Linked DNA regions of Neodiprion lecontei. The main gene of each other region encodes a partner of the protein of the gene in region 4 in a complex. Links are inferred from orthologs where the notes say so. Each region holds a gene or a part of one and is shown on either strand. Other genes may lie near its edges. The genes, in order: mediator of RNA polymerase II transcription subunit 19, mediator of RNA polymerase II transcription subunit 4, mediator of RNA polymerase II transcription subunit 18 and mediator of RNA polymerase II transcription subunit 23.

What was found.
Region 1: mediator of RNA polymerase II transcription subunit 23 (region 4) and mediator of RNA polymerase II transcription subunit 19 share a complex: the UniProt entries of both Drosophila melanogaster proteins name them as parts of the mediator complex. The link is inferred for Neodiprion lecontei from reciprocal best matches to the Drosophila melanogaster genes MED23 and MED19.
Region 2: mediator of RNA polymerase II transcription subunit 23 (region 4) and mediator of RNA polymerase II transcription subunit 4 share a complex: the UniProt entries of both Drosophila melanogaster proteins name them as parts of the mediator complex. The link is inferred for Neodiprion lecontei from reciprocal best matches to the Drosophila melanogaster genes MED23 and MED4.
Region 3: mediator of RNA polymerase II transcription subunit 23 (region 4) and mediator of RNA polymerase II transcription subunit 18 share a complex: the UniProt entries of both Drosophila melanogaster proteins name them as parts of the mediator complex. The link is inferred for Neodiprion lecontei from reciprocal best matches to the Drosophila melanogaster genes MED23 and MED18.

Annotation. Positions count from the first base shown.
Region 1 is NC_060263.1:2,151,278-2,155,814, forward strand, and holds mediator of RNA polymerase II transcription subunit 19, read right to left. Parts: upstream 2,945-4,537; 5' UTR 2,510-2,944; coding exon 2,323-2,509; intron 2,212-2,322; coding exon 2,055-2,211; intron 1,973-2,054; coding exon 1,873-1,972; intron 1,774-1,872; coding exon 1,492-1,773; 3' UTR 532-1,491; downstream 1-531. Other genes in the region: RNA-binding protein with serine-rich domain 1-B, read left to right, coding at 3,402-3,403, 3,793-3,915, 3,991-4,257, 4,344-4,537. UniProt on the Drosophila melanogaster protein: Component of the Mediator complex, a coactivator involved in the regulated transcription of nearly all RNA polymerase II-dependent genes.
Region 2 is NC_060260.1:6,404,854-6,408,838, forward strand, and holds mediator of RNA polymerase II transcription subunit 4, read right to left. Parts: upstream 2,286-3,985; 5' UTR 2,129-2,285; coding exon 2,061-2,128; intron 1,909-2,060; coding exon 1,502-1,908; intron 1,295-1,501; coding exon 1,175-1,294; intron 940-1,174; coding exon 770-939; 3' UTR 540-769; downstream 1-539. Other genes in the region: germinal-center associated nuclear protein, read left to right, coding at 2,603-2,661, 2,792-2,983, 3,053-3,214, 3,268-3,522, 3,597-3,734, 3,808-3,985. UniProt on the Drosophila melanogaster protein: Component of the Mediator complex, a coactivator involved in the regulated transcription of nearly all RNA polymerase II-dependent genes.
Region 3 is NC_060262.1:34,397,797-34,402,639, reverse strand, and holds mediator of RNA polymerase II transcription subunit 18, read right to left. Parts: upstream 3,080-4,843; 5' UTR 2,818-3,079; coding exon 2,612-2,817; intron 2,367-2,611; coding exon 1,916-2,366; 3' UTR 548-1,915; downstream 1-547. Other genes in the region: transcriptional adapter 1, read left to right, coding at 3,254-3,324, 3,569-3,605, 3,695-3,928, 4,433-4,636, 4,793-4,843. UniProt on the Drosophila melanogaster protein: Component of the Mediator complex, a coactivator involved in the regulated transcription of nearly all RNA polymerase II-dependent genes.
Region 4 is NC_060261.1:4,255,199-4,259,828, forward strand, and holds the start of mediator of RNA polymerase II transcription subunit 23, read right to left. Parts: upstream 3,039-4,630; 5' UTR 2,860-3,038; coding exon 2,815-2,859; intron 2,634-2,814; coding exon 2,389-2,633; intron 2,317-2,388; coding exon 2,184-2,316; intron 2,076-2,183; coding exon 1,893-2,075; intron 1,783-1,892; coding exon 1,495-1,782; intron 1,343-1,494; coding exon 1,130-1,342; intron 1,062-1,129; coding exon 975-1,061; intron 865-974; coding exon 662-864; intron 512-661; coding exon 361-511; intron 272-360; coding exon 13-271; intron 1-12. Other genes in the region: E3 ubiquitin-protein ligase MYCBP2, read left to right, coding at 4,290-4,384, 4,505-4,571. UniProt on the Drosophila melanogaster protein: Component of the Mediator complex, a coactivator involved in the regulated transcription of nearly all RNA polymerase II-dependent genes.

The DNA.
Region 1 (4,537 bases), on a different chromosome or scaffold from region 4:
ATACCTTTCGCTCTCACTCTTCCGCTAACTCTCCAGTTCTGGACTATGTAGCCTTGCATCAGGCGGAGAGGGTTCTCGGGGTAAAACGCTTTTCGTACGAAAACTATCCTTACTTTATTTGAAAGATAATTAGGTATCAATACCAAATACGCGCGGAACGATAAAACACATATGATAAAATACAATTGTTGCAATAATGTGTTAAATAAATTAAAAATAGATCGAATGTACAAAAAATGAAATAATCAACGGCACGATAATCTTGCGCATTTGGTATTTCTCTTTCAAGTTTTCGGATTAAAACGGTGAGCTTTTAATGATTTTCATTGATTTTGCTCCAGTTTGATCACACACTTGGGATTCCGTTGGTTTTCCAAGCGTTGACTAACTGCAAGTGAGTGCAGACATATTTTGATATACTTGCCTGCGATATTGATAAAATAAATTTCAAAAGTCTCATTTTCAGTAGGCTTCTTTAAATTTTTTGGTATTGCTTCTTATTGTTAGATGTTAAATTATTCAAATATTCGGTTTAAATGTTACAGGATTTGTTATATTGTAGGTAATATGTACAAATATCATAGGATAATTCATGTTTCGATCAATCTACAAATTAGTTATACCATACATTAAATGAAATATTGGTTTCCGTTTGAAATTTGGTGAATAATAAATTTTGCGTTTATTTTACTACTTGGCATAAATATTCTTAATCAATTCATTCTTTTATAATTAGCTAGTTGTTTTGTGAACACATCATTCATCTGATTGACTTTTCTCTTGTTTAATATCAAATTATAAGAGTAGTAAGTAACAATTGTTTGCACAAGAAACTTCGCTCAAATATCGATGATTAGCAAAGTACCTCTTGTGGCCAATCAACATATTCGAAACGGTTCCACATAGATTTTCAATTCCTAGTATCGGTATTCCAACAACTGGTGGCATTGACAAATTGTCATGAATACAAACAATCTTTTTTCATAACCGAGTTTTTCTTTTGTTTAGTATTCAATAGTCAAAACAATCTATATAGACATTAGACTATACTACTGGACACACAGCCTTTTATCGAAACTGAGACGATGAAATTAGGTTTCACAGAACTGCGTGAATTCCTGGATACACTTTGGCCGATTACAGGACTAAAATGGTGTGAGTAAACAGAGTGATAGACAGGCCGAGTTCACCAATAAACATCCTATCTAAAATTACTGTAATTGCCATGAGGTTTTATTTCGCCTATACAGTAACTGATGCATGCACGACAATACATTAACATGTATTGGCTGCAGTTTAAAAATAACATGGGATATTCTTTAGTTAAGAAAAAGCTTAAATTTCTTACGTTGCGTTGAATTGAGCAAGGCACATGGGCAGTTCTATGATTTCTGAATAAATGAATTAAACTCGTCGTCTCGTTTCACTTTGTGTACGAACCACACGGGTATGTATAATCGATTAGATGAATAAAAATGGAAAGAATGGAGATCACGTATTGGAATGCTGCGAGGGTGTGAGACCTCCGGGATGTTCAGGGCTGTGTTTTTGTTTTTTTCGTTTTTTCTCTTTCTTCCGTTTCTTTCTCTCTTTCTCCTCGTCATGCTTCCTTTGTTTCTTATGCTTCTTTTCATGGGGATCAGGTCCCCCTATATCAGTGGTAGTAGCCTCTTGACCGCTCAGAGTTTCGCCAGGCTTATGTTTATGCTTTTTGTGCTTATTCTTGTGCTTTCGCTGCGGTGCCTGATTTACGTAACGATACTGCTCTGGGAGCTGTAACATTAAGAAACGGATATCAGACAGTTTTGGGGCAACAATAAAATGAGTTTCTTTAACGGAAACATGTAAATATAACGAAATGAAATAACTCACAGGTCCGGGATGTAGTCTAAATCCAGCGAGTTGCACGCTGGTGAGTGGAAGAAGGTCTTTTCCACAGATTGGAGGCTTGTCTATCACAGACCTTAGAGAACTGAAAGAGAAAAGAAATATGTTAATGAGAATAATAGTTTAAACGCGTTACAATACAAAATAATAATGTTTCAAGTTCGTACCTATTGTCTTGGTGACCAGGCGCGTCGATGATACCAGGTAAATTTGGCAAAAATGATGAGAGTTGTTCCTTGAGCTTTTTACCACTGAATTTACTATAGGAATGCTCGAGGCCATAATAGGCCATCAAATTTGTAGCCCCCGTGAGTTCACTTTGCCCTAGAAAATATTTATATGACATTTGAATTAAGCTTGAAAGAACTAAGAACTGGCAACGTGTATTTAGTTATGCATTATTCGAGGTTTTAAATTGACAAGTGATAATCTCACCAGGGGGCTCCTTCATTAAGTAGAAAGGCCCACTGTGGACGATTGAGGGGTTCTTGCCGAGGGAAATCGTCGTTTTGAGAGTTCCAGTCGAGTCCTGACGTGAAACTACAGGGGAACGGGCTCCCCTCGGTGATGATTTTGGTGAGTATTGTTCCACTTTACTACGAAACTGATCACCCATCATCATCCTCCTGGCTTTACTTCATCGCCCTTTCGCTACAGTAACAATGTTTTATCTTCCTATTTTGGCACAAGCACTGCAGCGAAATAAACAGTAGGGTAAAGACCGATGGGAACTGTGCGCTCCGCCGATGCTCCACCCGGACGTTATTTCACTGCAGCGATGATCCTCGTGTGATGCAACTGTACACAGAGAATCAACGACACTTTACACAGTCTAGTGCATATGTCAGCTATTTTAATAATCTCGCTAGACAAAACGCGAGGATCGGAGCCTCGCTGAAGAACTTGGACGCCCGCTGAGTCTCGGCGACCTTATCACATTGTTTAAAAACAATAAATAACGCGATGAAAACTGACATACATAACACCCATAATCGCGACAAACTCACTCAACGAGCTCAACCACACTCGACGCAGACAAGAAACTGCGATTTGGAAACATTAACGATTCCTGGCCTTCGAATATTTAGGTAACCTAGAAGTGCACACCTGCATGAAACTAGCGGGAGTCGTACACGCTCACTTTTGGAACACAGAATGGACCTGCACACCGTGTTTCACTCTCTATACACTCTACATCACTGTGACCGCATATAGCTTAGCTGTGTGTTCGTTCTTCTGCCGGCAAATGACGCTTTTTACATAGTGAAATAAATACGAGTACTCTTGCGCATGAAAAAAACTGAAGGGTTAAATAATAAATAAAGTGGTTATCCTTTTTGGTGTTAATGTTATCTGGACCATAAATTTACGATATCTACACGATATCGCGTTCGCGATACCTTAACCACGAGTTTTTCGCTCACAACTGGAAAGTGGACAGCGTATCGTCACGTCCATTTTATGATAGGAAATATAGATAGTAAAACATATCGCCTGTTCAACTACCGGTAACCATGTACGTAATAATTTTGCAAATTTAAAACTACTTTTATGACTCAAAATTTACCGTAATTGTTTTTGTGCTCATGGTCAGCAAACTGTGTCGTGCTTTTTTTTTTTTTTTAAACGCTGTTGCTATTCGTATGGTAAGGGTGACTAAGAGTGTCGCTTTCGGAACGTATTTCAACCTTTTGTGGGCAACAAACACCGGCAGGGTGGTTTTTATCTTGGATTCCCATGTAAATTCGGATACCAACAAAATATGATAATTCATGAAACCTTCGGTGACGGCATGATGAAGTCCGAATTTATTCTAACCCCTATTGTGTGACTCGCGAACAGTCTACCATACAAATTACATTCTATTGAAATATTTGATTTTTTATTATGTAAATATTTCCCCAGGGCACGCAGCCGCAAGGATAGCGCTGGTAAGAGCGATTCAGAAGCCACCGACAAGGAAAACAAGAAAGAAAAAGGGCGAGAAAAGAAGAAGCGTGCTGCTTCCTCGTCAAGTAGTGGTTCGAGGTATGTTCCAAACAACTACAGACATAATTTCATTATACGGACATTGAACCGATCTACACTTAATTGATTTTGCAGTTCATCAGATAGCAGCTCGGCATCTTCAAGTTCATCTAGTGGCAGCAGTTCTAGATCGAGCTCTTCGTCTAGTTCGTCATCTAGTAGCTCTGGGAGTTCATCAGCAAGCTCCCGAGACAGGGGTCGCAAAAGAAGCCGGAGTAAGAGCGCAGATGTCTCAAGAAAGCATGACAATAAAGAGAAAGAACGAGAAAAGGAAAGAGACAAAGATAAGAAGAAATCTGGTAATGCAGTGGCCGAAAAGCCAAAGCCCAAAGCCCGTTCTAGGTAAAACTATCGCTTTTACAATTTGTCTGTTAGAATATATTGTTTGCTTCGTAGGCAAAGTAAAAAACTTATAACACCTGTTTCAGGTCGCATTCACCACGGCGAAAACGTAGAGAACGTTCTCCAACACCAAGGCCGACAAAAATTCATATTGGAAGGCTGACACGCAATGTTACCAAGGAGCACATTGTCGAAATATTCTCTACTTATGGAATCATAAAAATGGTAGATTTTCCCCTAGACAGATTACATCCTCCAAGTGGCAAGGGTTTTGCGTATG
Region 2 (3,985 bases), on a different chromosome or scaffold from region 4:
ACCGATATCAAATCAGCTAATTCCAGTCACTTTCATTATATATCAATACGCAGACGCATTTGAGAAAATAGATGACAAAATATTATTCACAAAATTGGTTGACTAACTACTTTACTTGAAAGATATCCTCAGAGTGAAAATAAAAAGTAAATACACCTCTGAATGCCTCACTGGAATCAGTTTTTAAAGTCTGGTACAAATTGCTGAGAGCGCTGATCTCATTTCTACGTACCACATAAGCCAGGAGTAAGCTCAAGGCTTTACATACCCCAATAATTGTATTCCTAACACAGACTTGCCCTACAAACATGACCCAGATATTTGTCTACATTTTTCCAATGACATTTTTTGAAAATTAATCAAGTCGTGCACTAAGAACATGAACTTCTAGAGAATATAATCCACAGCTCTGGAAAAAAAACTTTTTCGACTTATTTTACTAAGTGAGTTTTAAATAACTTGTAGAGGTGAGTAATGGGTTTAAGCTGGAATTAATTTCAATAAAATATTTTATTTTACTTATTGATACAACAGCATACATATGACTAAGCAGTTGAATTTAATTGTACAATTAGTAAAGAGAAACGTTTCAATTAAATTAAGATTCCTGTTCTTATAAAGTATATGAGAAATACTTCGTCGAGTTATACTTAAGAATGATTACAATGATTAATATGGTTTGAAAATCATATTAAAACATTCAAACCTTTTTCCTTATCATAAATGTTTTCATTCGTGAGTTGGGTATGAAGAATGAAATATTTACTGTTCATTGAGAATCACTCGAGGAACTGCTGGATGAATCTGTTGACATTACTTCAACGTCTTCCGTTTCTTGTTTATGAGTATTCATTGCTACGCTACCTTGTCCACCTACGGACATGTGGATTTCTCCTGACGGGTGCCAGGCAAATTGATTCGCCTGAGATACTGGAGGCTCTGAAATGATTTATTTTGAGTTACTTTCAAGAAATCGCTGCGATGACTTTGAGTAGATGAACTTTTTTTTTCATTGAAATATCTTCTCCAGTATATTTTCAAAGTCAATGGCGATATTCTTTTGATAAGACTAACCAGTAGCAAACAATATATTGGATAACTTCTCCAAATGATTTGGAATTGAATCGCATAGAAGAGTAATGATAAATCGAATAAGCTACTAATGTATTCTCACCACCTGCTGGATGTCCAGCTCGATGCAATTCGGCTGGAATGCCGGGATGAGATCCGATCATTTGTCCGTTCAGTGGAAGATCGCTGAGTCGCCCCAGAACGCCCAGCCTCATCTCAATATCTAGGAGGCATGAAATAATTAACATACACTAAGAGAAAGGGAAATGATATCGCTGTGAAATATTTTTGAAGTTATTCGACTCAACCAAAGAGGTAATTCCAAAAGTGTAAGATTGATAATCTGATGAGCAAGAAAAATGTTTCTGTGTAAAGTTTATTATTTGAAATAAGCATTTGGAACATTACTGCATAAATCTATCGTATTCACCTGTTGGATACGGTCGGCGTGGATCGCCTTGCTGCCACGTTAACGGAGCACAAACAGCATTAGATGCGCTAATCCTATGAGCAAATTTAATGAGTTCTTCAGAAGGAACAGGCCTTTTATTGGCCCGAGATATGGACTGGAGTTTTTGTTTAGCCTGGTATATAGCAGTGGCAAGTATTTGCTCTGCTTCTTTCAACTGACGTTGTAATTGTTGAATGTCTTGATCCTGCCTCTCAACCTCTTCCTTTAACGAATCCATTTTCTGGTTTATTTTTGCCTGTTCCGATGCCAGTTGTAAAGTTGACTTGAGCTCATTGTCTTTGGCAACTAATAACTCTGTCAGTTGAGCGTGCTCGCTGCTGGATAGTTTCAAATGCTTCTGCGCTATCGTATTCTCGATCAGTTCTCTGCAGAGAATAAAAATACAGGTATGAAATTTGAGGTCTGTGAATAATTGACATAACGACGAGCGTACTTTGCGTTTTACTTTAATTTTTCCGACCATTTTATTCGACGTATGAAATCTCGGACTCTTTTTAGCACTGGTGAAAATACTTACTTGGCTATTAATTCCATGTCATCGACAAGGGATAATAATACTTCACGTGTGCTGCGATTTGATGCCATTTTACACCTTTATGTCGTTCCAGATTTTGTATACAATACAATTATCACTTTCCAGTCATTGTTTATCTTTAAACCCGCTACTCGCTGTGCTACGCTTGGGAAACGTAACCTGTGTCGATACACACATCCAACAGTGAGTAAGCGGCAGTCCCAGCAGCCGAAGCTCTCATTGGGAGAGTCGTGCTATCCTGTAATTCGATTAGTTGAGTACCTAACCTAACATGACACAGCTATTGCTGAATGGATGCACCTGACTAGTAGTACCAATGATAGTACTTGTATACATCGTAGCGTAGATCACATGGGTGGTCACGTGACAAAGTTACATCGTGCCGCCAGCATCCAGCCGATCACTTCATTCGTGCGATTGTTGTCAGTCGAAACGTCAGTTTAGTTCGGTTCGTTCGGTTAAGTTAGTCTAAAATTATCGATCGTATCTCCTTGTTTATTTAGAGAGCGTGTAACTAAACAGTGATGTCTGACTTTATAGTTGGGACGTGTTTATTTATGTGCCCTGAGAAAGAGAGATGGATGTAAGTTGTGTGTATATTTGAATATTTTTATTCCGGCATCAGTGAAGAAGACCAGAGGGAAACCTCACTTCAGTTATTTTTATTAATTTATGTATCAAAATTTGTGGATATTCAACTGATTCTTACTCAGGAGAGAAAGAGAAGGCTTACTGCATACCTTCGAAGTTGACGAGAAAACAAAACATCTAAAACGACCAAAAGCAGATCCTTCAAAGATTGTGAAATGCTTCAGTCGACCTGCAGCCGGACAGCTCATGCCAGATACAAGCGAACTTCGACCGGCTTCTGTTCTTTTATCGACTATAAGATATTTGTTCACTAAGTAAGCCATCTGACAAGGATTTTCATAAATTCATAGCTCGCGCATGCTATATAACAAATTTTTTTGCAGTGTTGTTACGCGAGTCGATTATGACTGGGTAATGATTTATGATTTTGTATTTGATCGACTGAGAGCTATCAGACAGGAAGTTGTTATTCAAAGAATACGAGGACCTCAAAGTGTTCAAATCCTAGAGCCAATTGTTCGATTTCATGTTTACGCAGGCCAAAGGTAAAGAGACGAATACTTTCTTGCCAGTTAATTGTAATAAAATTAGTTTTCAGACTATGTGAAAAAAACATATCTGTATTTGATACGAAGATAAATAGTCAGCACCTTCTAGAGTGTCTTAAACAACTGCTAGTACTTTATGATGAACTTGAAGAACAATCCTCGATGTGTAATCCTAATTTTGAAGAAAATATCGAAAGACTTTCAATAGGTAATAACCGACCTCAAATGGAAGCTTTGTATATGCTGTTACATCTCGGTGATTCCTCGGCTCTAGGAAGAGGCATATCGCTTCCTCATAAGTACAGGTGAATTACAAGATTGTAATTACTAAGATGATACAATGCTACTTCTGGATTATATGGAACTATTATATGTGCAGGGGCAAGAACGTAAAGCTGGCCATGAAGATATCTCTTGCGTGGTTTTTGAAAAATTATGTCCGAACCTTAAGACTGATACAAAAACTTCCACTTTTGTTAAAATTCGGTGTTCTAAGTAATTTGCGGCTTTTGAGAAGGTACTTGTGCTTCAGTGCTTAATGAGATTACAAATTGTACCAAACAGATCAGGTTAATATGATCTGTTTTTAGGGACACGTTTCAAATAATGAGCGCAGCATATAACAGTAAGCTCTTAACGTTTCCTGGTCTAAAATTACAAGAAATATTGATGTATAGAGATGTTGAGAAACTTTCAGCAGATTGTAAACTATTCAACTTGTCGTTTGCATATGAAAACGTGCAATTTGATGCAAGAAAATTTAACAAG
Region 3 (4,843 bases), on a different chromosome or scaffold from region 4:
GATGCCCAAGATCCACTAATCGATCGGCGATCTTGAAATGTAATTCATAGAAAGTTATACTCCCTTCACTGTCTTCGGTGTTTACAGAACACCAGTGCCAGTTTATTTCAGGCAGGAATTTGTTTACGTGGAGTTGTCTCCTTATAGTTCAGTAAAGACGTGTTTACACAGTGCTAGAAATCGGACCGATTTCTCGGACCGAAAAAAAGTTACCAGAACTCGTATCGCGTATACAGCAAACTTGGACGTAAATCGTGGATCGAAAACGCGGATGAAAAAATGGATCGCGTCCCATTATTCATCCGCATTTTCGATCCACAATTTACGTCCGAGTTTGCTGTATACACGATACGAGTTCAGAGGGATGGGCGATGTTAGTATAAAATAGCGACATCCTATTGTCGATTGTTTTAATTCTACTACCAGTCTACTATCGATGTTCTTTTAAAAACATCGGAACATCGATTGTTATCATCGGTGACGAATAAAAGCGCGAAAAATTCAAAAATTTTAGATACAATTGTAGACAGAATAATGAACGCAGAAATTTCAAGTTTTGAATTATCATTATTATTCAAAATAAAAATAAAATATGAGAACTAAATATAAATTACATTGGATAAAATTAAATTATTGAAACATTCTAATTAACAGTGAGAAATTTAATAGAAAAGTTCTATAGATGAGTTACCGACAGATGTTGGCACAGAAATTCAATTTATTCCTGACATAATGATGTCGATAGTCCAATATTTTCCATCGATTATCGATATATCGACTTTAAAACCCATCAATCAAAAACATTGATACTCGAAACATTGATGTGGGTGCATAATCGTTACCTGATCGACAACGCGAAGCCATTTGAGTTATCAATATCCACGGATTCATTTTCAATAACGCAACTCTCGACTCTCCATTCCCAGTTAATCTAGTTAAAATGGCCCGAGAATTTTGCATCGGTTCTTTTCTTTAACCATTAAGGATTATTTACTAAACGATTTAATACTAACTAATTTTTTTATTTACCTTCCAGCATTTACAAATTGCTAGACTACCTCATAGTACTTTTTTCACTCTGCCTTCCTAACTGGGAGGAAATGGTTAGTCAATATTAAAAGGATATCAAGTACCATTACCTAATCCTTAAAATTCCGGTTGAAAGGTACGATCCAATGTGGCTTACAATTAGTGACCCTTACACTCATTATCTCTCTTCACATTGTTATTTTGCTGCCCAGCCAATCTCATACTGCATCCATTAGTCCTACATCCCTGAGCAAATGATTGGTATAGTCCTGCCTTATCATAGACATAGTACAAACTTTCAACCATCCCTCAAATTACATGCTGCAGGTGTTTGACAATCATAACAGATTATCAGGAAATCACGTATCTTCTAGTATCCCTTTTATCATGCTCATCACACTTTTGCAATAATCACAAGAGTTCATATTTATTGAGTTCGGTAGGTGTTGGAGATTTAAAAATGAGATTGAGTTCAATTTCAGTTGCGAGTACTTATTCATTATTTTAAAATACTTTACTTCATTCGAAGAGTTAAAAATTAGTAGTTTCTGTATCATAACATGACTAATTGTAGCATCGATGTCGGATCTTTATTGGACTTTGTTCAATACTTTACAAATTCATTCTAATTTTATGGATCTGATTCAAATGTAAATATCCAATAGTACAATATAAAAAATCTCTATGGGTCATTGCAGTAGGAAATATTGAAATAATACTTGCATAAAGATTCCTCTTGAAAATTCGCAATAAGAGAACTACGATGTATTATCATTTCTGCTATATAGTTCTCGCACACTGAAATCTGAAAAGACAACATTGTACCCAATTGTATATTAGGAACTATTCATCAGTGATTCATTTATGGACACTGATTCTAAACCCCCTAATGACTCAGTCGTTTATAATCAATTTTTTCAAGCTGAACTAAAGGTCTTAACTGTTCGGCGAATATTCTCATGTCTTCAGCTATTGCATCTTGTCCACGTGGAGCAAGCACGCTCAATTCGACCAAGTAGCTTTGAGATATGGGTTCTACATTATCCGGTATTTTCACTTGAACCATTTTAAATATTTTTGCTACAGTTACTTTCATTCTACCCTTTCGGAACATGTATCCCTGTACAATATACTCAAAATCTATTCTACATCCCAATTCTGTGAGGAATTCAACAACTGTACTGCTTGTTGCAATGTCTATACTGCTTCGCACTATTGTCGGTCTAGACTTGTCACCTAGCTCGGGTTGTCCGATGTAACGTAGCTGCCAAGGCATATCCTGATGATCTAAGGCTCTTCTCACCCTCAGCGACAATGGTTGTTCTGGCGGAGGACCTCTGAAAGGTTAAAATTTATATTTGAAATGCTCTTCTTTTTTAAAACACAAAGTAAATTTTTAAATTTTGCTGGAAGAAAATAATGGCTCATTATATTATTATCGTGAAATATAAATTGTCACAATAGGCAAGTTACAATTTTAAAGCCGCATCTGAAACCTAGAAAATATGCAAACAATGTGAAGTACTAAGCACTCTGGGTGAATAACGACAATGTATACCAGCAAAAAGAGAATGAGATTTACCTCCTGATACTGAAACACATTTCATGATCACGAAAAGTCTCCGGCCTACTATCAACGTTATCGCACAATCCTCTCAATCTTTGCAATAAGACTTCCACCGCACTGTCCATAACCGAACCTTGCAGAAGGTATTCTTGGTTTGGTATTATATTCGACTTTACAGCAGCATTTAAGCTGTCCATCGCTGTACTTATTTGACTTGCCATTTTGGCAGAGTATTTAATTATACTTTCTACTGCGGTATGTTAATGGATTTGTCGCTACAGAATGGGGTAAATTGTCATTGTCCGATCGTCGTATTTGGTCTCTTTGCGAGGTTAAGTCACTGCAGCCTGCATACAGTCAATTTTCCCTGTTCCCAACAAATTGTCAACAATCATTGTCGCCAACCTTGTGATTGAAATTTATTAAACTTTGATGCGCGCGCATCTGACGCACTCAACGTTCACAAATCTGCACAAAATTGCTTTCTCGTTTGCACGCAACAATGTCACGATGTAAGAGGAACAATATAACAACTTTATACGATCGTGTTAGTGAGTTCGCTTATGTTGTTAGGTGTCGAAATGTCAATGTAAGAGTCGCGTGCAAATAGATGTCTGTTTATTGTCACAAAATAAATTCGAACGGTTCGATTGCGGTATGACATCGTCGAAAGAGTTGACCGTAGCAAGAAAAAGCCTTGTCGCATCGCTAGGTGATAACGCAAAACTGTAAGTTTGTTTTTATGTCACTCAACATTATGTGTGCAATGTGTGTATACAATTTGAGCTCAATTACCTTTTGTAAATATTGCGACAACCTGATCTTGGTATGATACTGTAATAACTGATTATACTAATACAGCGGTTAAAAACCTTTCTGATCTGTCACTTTGAATTCACCCTTTACTGATTTCCTTGGAATCGCAATGGACTTTGGGTGTACACATACTTAATTATCATATTGTGGTTACAGGTACTTTGAAAAAATGAAGCTGTGGTTTCAGATGAAGGTACACCAATATCTTACCTGAGTCTTGATATCCAAGAATCGTTTTGCTACTTTTTTTTTTTTAATCATACACTTATTTGATTTTCTCAGACAACTAAAGAAGAATTTGACTGCGAGGCGCGCAACATTATGACTGAGGATCAAGTCCATTTGCACAATGAATTTCTACTCTGCTTGTTCAACAAAGTACAGGGGTTAGCGTCTGTGACAACAGTCCGAACTAACAAACACAATCATACAAATGCTCATCTTGATAAAGAAAAAATGCTAGAGAAAAGGCTGCGATTGAAACGAAAATATAAAACAGACAAATCAAATTTTGAAGTAAGAAGCTGTTTTGGAATAATATTAAAAAATCCGTGATTAACCATATAGTGCCAGTACTCGGATTCAGTTGAAGAATATTATTTTTTAAAACTGCTATACATATTTCAGTTAAAATTTTGTAAAAATTTAGTTTTAAACATTTTTGCCATTAATTACCTGTCGATGAACTTATGATTTCAAGACCTTAGGATACCAGAGAGCCTGTAACTCTCTTCCAAAATGTTTGATTAAAATTCATGAACTCATAAATAAAAATTGCCATTTTGCCAAATTAGTGAATGTGCGATAGCAGGCACTATAGTGTTAAATGGGTATCTGTTAGGAATTTGATATTTTATTGCTAACATATAGAAGTATTCATTCATTATTGGTCTCTGGAAATATGTATAAAGTGGCCATAAGGCTGTGTCAAATATTTGAAAGCAGATATTTTTGTATGAAAAAAAAGCAAATACAACCTGAGAAAATTTATGTTAAGAATATAAAAGCTGCATATTTCAGCCTGCAGATGTCTACGTTGAAGTCTTGGGCCAAAGTTCGTCGCTGGTTGGAGACGAACCTATAGGTGCCAATCATTCCAGCGCGCAAGAGCTTTTGCTGCCAGATCGTACCTTCGTTTTAGCTAGACTAATGCTTGCTGCATGGGAGAATAATATGGATGGAGCTGAAGAAAATACAGCTCAAATAATTATAGCTGCTACTCAGGTACGAATATGCTATAGCTACGAGTATTTTGCTATACTGAAGTAATCAGATTGTGCAATGTTCTGGATTCGGGAAAGTACATTGTTTATTCTATTCTTCAGTCGGTTTTACCCATGATGTGAGTGAAAAATAACAACCCAATTCTCATACTTACAGGTATTTCTCAAAAATATACTCACAGCCGTAATAACTCGACGGAAAGGTTTC
Region 4 (4,630 bases):
AGTGTTACTCACTTATGAAGCCTTTGATTCCGAGGCTTTCTATTTCAGTGTACACCAGCAATCTGCTGTAGGTCTCGACAAGGGCAGGAGCAAGAGCCATGTTGCTTTTAGATTGAGCTAGTTTGATAACGTGTGTAACAATACTGTGAATCAGACTCATTTTAGAATGTACAGTAAGAGAATCAAGAATGGACATAGACAATGGCGTTGTTGGTCCATTTGCAAGAGCAGCATTGCTCTGTAGTGGCTGTAAGGGTTGCTGCTGTTGTCCCTGAAAATTATAATAATAAATTTTCATTTCACAAGTACACATAGTTATAAATTTTTTTCAGTTTAATGTCCTATTTGCTCAAAAATCACCTTCTGTGTGCCAAGAATTGTATCGACAAGTGCAGCCATAGGTCTACTGAAGTATTCTTGATTCGTTGAATAAGCATTGCACAGTAAAGCGATGCGATAATCAGATCCCATACACAATGATGTATTTGGCATAACTAAATGTTGTAGAAATCTATAAAGAGAGTGTAAAAATTTAATTCAATAAATACGAAATGGCCGCTGTAAGGAAAAATAAAATTTCAGTAAATAGGTACTTGTCGAATTTATGAATACATATACAATAATTAACGATACGATGAATTGCACCAAAAACGTCACATACTCATGATGAACTTTTAGCGTGTGTGGGATCGGCCTGTGAATGTTCAAGTGCTCGGATTGCGCTTTTTTAAGTAAATGAATCCATATACACGTGATGGCCATTTGATGTGTGCACAATGCCTGACTGAAATCAGGAACAGGTAGTGGTTCCTTTTCGGGGTATAATAGGTCATACAGTTTAAGTACTGGCAGAAAGTTAGACAGCTGGAATAGAAAAAGAAAGTGATGTATCGTATGCAAATATTCCAAAGCTACAATGAAGTAATTTTGTTTTTTCAGATGCGCAGATTTGAGAAAATTATTTTAATCCTTACCGGATTACGCTGAATACTCCCAGATATAAACTGCAATAGGACCCACATCAGATGATCACGCCCCTTTCGCAATTCTCGACCAGCTAGCTGAAAAGGTGGTCAAATGAGAGTCACAGTAAGGAGAAATATAACAAGTAACATAGCTTCTGTTTTACCTTGTCATGTATGGCCATCACAATGTTGGGAAAACAAGCAAATTGAAAAAGTACGAAGTATATAAGTTGAGAAGAAAGGTGTAGCCACAGCCAATGATTCGCAACAGTAATATCTGTTCCCTCAGTGGGTGGTGGATCATTTTCGGATCGCTCCATAGCCAGAAGTACCAATTCAACCAGTTGTTCCTCCAATGCTACGCACCTCTGTTTGTGCTAGATTTACATAAATTTTTACCGAAATTAGTTACCAATGCCATTGATCGTGTGACGTATATTACGTTTTTATTCAATCAAAAATATTCTTCGCCTGACTGAATTTGAATATATTACACCTGATAATGAATTGATTAATTCATTCATCGAACCTGTTTCTGGAGGCCTAGCATGGAGCAAACCATATCTCTGCTGTACGGTTGTTCCAAGACATATCTTAAAAGTTCGGTTTGAGGTTTTAGCAAATCTTGATCGTAGGGTAAATTGCCTTTGAGGGAGAATTTAAGGGTCGTAGGATCGAGCCTCCATGGGTTGATGACATGGTCCGCATATCCAGAGTGCTCTACTACGGGTAGCATTTTTGAGTGCCCGATTATAGACACCATTTGCGCAGTGGCTCTGAAACTCTCGACAAACCCAGAGAGCAGTTTTGCTAATTTCTATTTAAGAAATAATACATTATTTTCATTTGGTAAGCAAAATAGAAAAGCACTTGCGATTCTAAATCGTGAACATTGTCAAGCATTAGCTTGAGATTTTTTGAACTCACCCAATGCGGCCAATTCTTATTATCGGGATAGGCCTTCTGTATTTCATTAACAATAAAATAGCCAGGCAATAGACATGCATTTCTGTCAAATATATATTCGATAACATTTTCCAGCGCCTTTAATTGCGGCTGTACAGATGCGTTAAGTCTTGCTGGTATCGTTTGTGCCTTTTCTCTGCAGCCCTGTGAAAGATCATGGAAAAATTTATGAGTATAGTCATTTTTCAGCTATGATTTCAATCGTGTAATATTTATTCCACGATATATGATAGCATAGAAATGACCACCCGCCTTCATTATTTCTCTGACACCTTTGTAATCCACTCCTCCAATGATCCGTCTGATGAGGTTAAAAGACTCGACCCAAAAATCCTCTTGCTGATACTGCAGCTTATCACAGCTGAGGATACATTCGCAAACCAATCTGGAAAGTCGTTAAATGATGATAATGAATTTATTAATTGTTAATTTTCTTGCGTCTCCCGTAGCTTCGTACCTTGCAGGTAATACGTTACTCATGACCAAGTTCTCCAGTAACGACAGAAGAAGTTGTAAGCGACTATGATTCGTCAGCGCAGCAGCCATGTTAAGAAATTGTCTAACGCCATTCTCTTGTTGTTCAGTATTGAGACCTGTCATAGCAGATGTTAATTCTGACTGCAATCCTGCTATTTTTTCAATTTCATTATCCAGATGGTGAACGAGAAAACAGCTGAATGCTTCTTCGATAGGTTCCACTCTCTGCGTGTAATAAAAATGCATAGCAATTAATTGTTTGATGGAAAAACAAGTCGTACCTTCGACAAATAGTGCAAAATGCAGAAGTGCAGTGCTGAGTGAGAATATCGCGAGTAAGGAGATAAAACTTATTGAAAATGTGGGAAAACTATTGAAGTAATGTCAAACCTAAAAATTCACTTACAAGAATGTCATTGACGATGTTCGATATTTGCGCCTCGTTACTCATTTTTAAATAGCGAATATTTACAAGTCGCTGTTCTACGTCAAATCTCTCTGTCAAATCACTTAGATATATGCATGCGTCGGATGCAAAACAAACTTGTTAAAAAAAAAAAATCATCGACCTAACCTCGTACGGTGTAAACAGATTATTCTACGGCTTCATTCAGCAGTTTAATGAGGTGTGGTGCAGTATGGTCGAGGTGGGGATAAAAGTCTGGGGCAAATACGAGTGAAAACTGACTGAAGGAGGCACTGGAAGGAGGGGAGAGCCGGGAAACCACGCGAGTGGCGCTAACTCGGGGAACTCCAGCGGCATTATCGTCCGAGAATTGCAGCGATTGGATCTAATTTACTGCTGTCTATAAAAATTGCTTCGCCTCGCGTAGTTTTATTTCCCGATGTTTCCGCTTTCGACGTGGTTTTTGCGGCTTCGAGTTCGAGCGAGCGAGCCAGTGAGATTTCTTATCTAATTGTAACATGTCTAGGAACGGTTCGAGTGTAGCTGAAAGAAGTTATTAATTAACGATCTCATGCTGTTATCGCAGTGCATTGTTTAGCGAATTTTCATAAAAACAGAGGAAAGATGGCATATTAATTGAAAAATATTGAGTAATGTGCAAAAGTTAACTGTGAAGGTAATTTGGGACAATTATACCATTAACCATCGGTAGAAAAAAGATTATTTCAAGAAATTATTCTGATCAATGTGATATTTGATGAAATTTTGAATTAGATGTTTCAACGCCACCTTTGTTTTCAAGCTGAAATATATGCTTGAGATAAGTAATTTGCATTCTGATTAGCAGCAAACTTAATTGCAGTTGAGAATATAAACGTTGACTGGAAAAATGAGTTTTATTGAGTCTGAAAATCATTTTCAAACCGTTGGTGCATCGAAAGACTTGTTTTGTGACAGGATTTGGTATTTTCATTGTCATTCTACTATGAACAATTTCTTTTGCAGTACATATCCACACTTTGCGATGTAATTCTGGCGTCGAACCATTCAAATGCGGTGTTTCGCGACGGTAAAAATTCGATAGGCAGTGGAATCGATCTGCATTGCAGTCAACTTCAATCGCAATTCGAGATATCGATGTACGGAAATCTCATATCTGTGTTTTCAACTTTCAAGCACGATAAACGTTGCAGCTGTACGGTTAAGCGAATTGGGGGAATGAGAACTGTAATTTAATGATATAATTGATAAATTGATATTAAGTAATCGTTAGTTTTTAATTTTTCGTAATCTGATAACATTAATCAAGTTTGTTCAAATTGTGAAAATGTTTTCTCCTATCTGGATAATTAGAGAAATTTATAAATAAGTGTGATCACATGGGAAAAGTGTCAACGATCAATAACATAACCAAAATGAAGTGACCAAGTGATTTTTGCGGTAGTTTATTTAATCGGATTTATCATTACTAAACCATGGTGTCTGGTGATGTCGACAAATTCTTACCCGAGCCTGACAACTATGCCAAATACTTTCACGAGCTGTTCAGGAATATAGCGGACATTCAAAGGTATAACCTCTCAAACCGTTACGTTTGTTTACCCAACATTTACAGCGGTGACTTCATCTGTCACGAAAAAACTCAATCTAAAACTTGACGATAGTACTCATCGTGTATTTTTATTCGCAGGGGAAAGGGAGATTGGAAAAAATCTAAGAAGTCTAAGACCGCCAAAAAAAAAGACAAGAAAAACAAGGTTATCTTAATAATTTTAACAAATACTTACATTTCCACGTTTAATAGAGCCTCAAATTA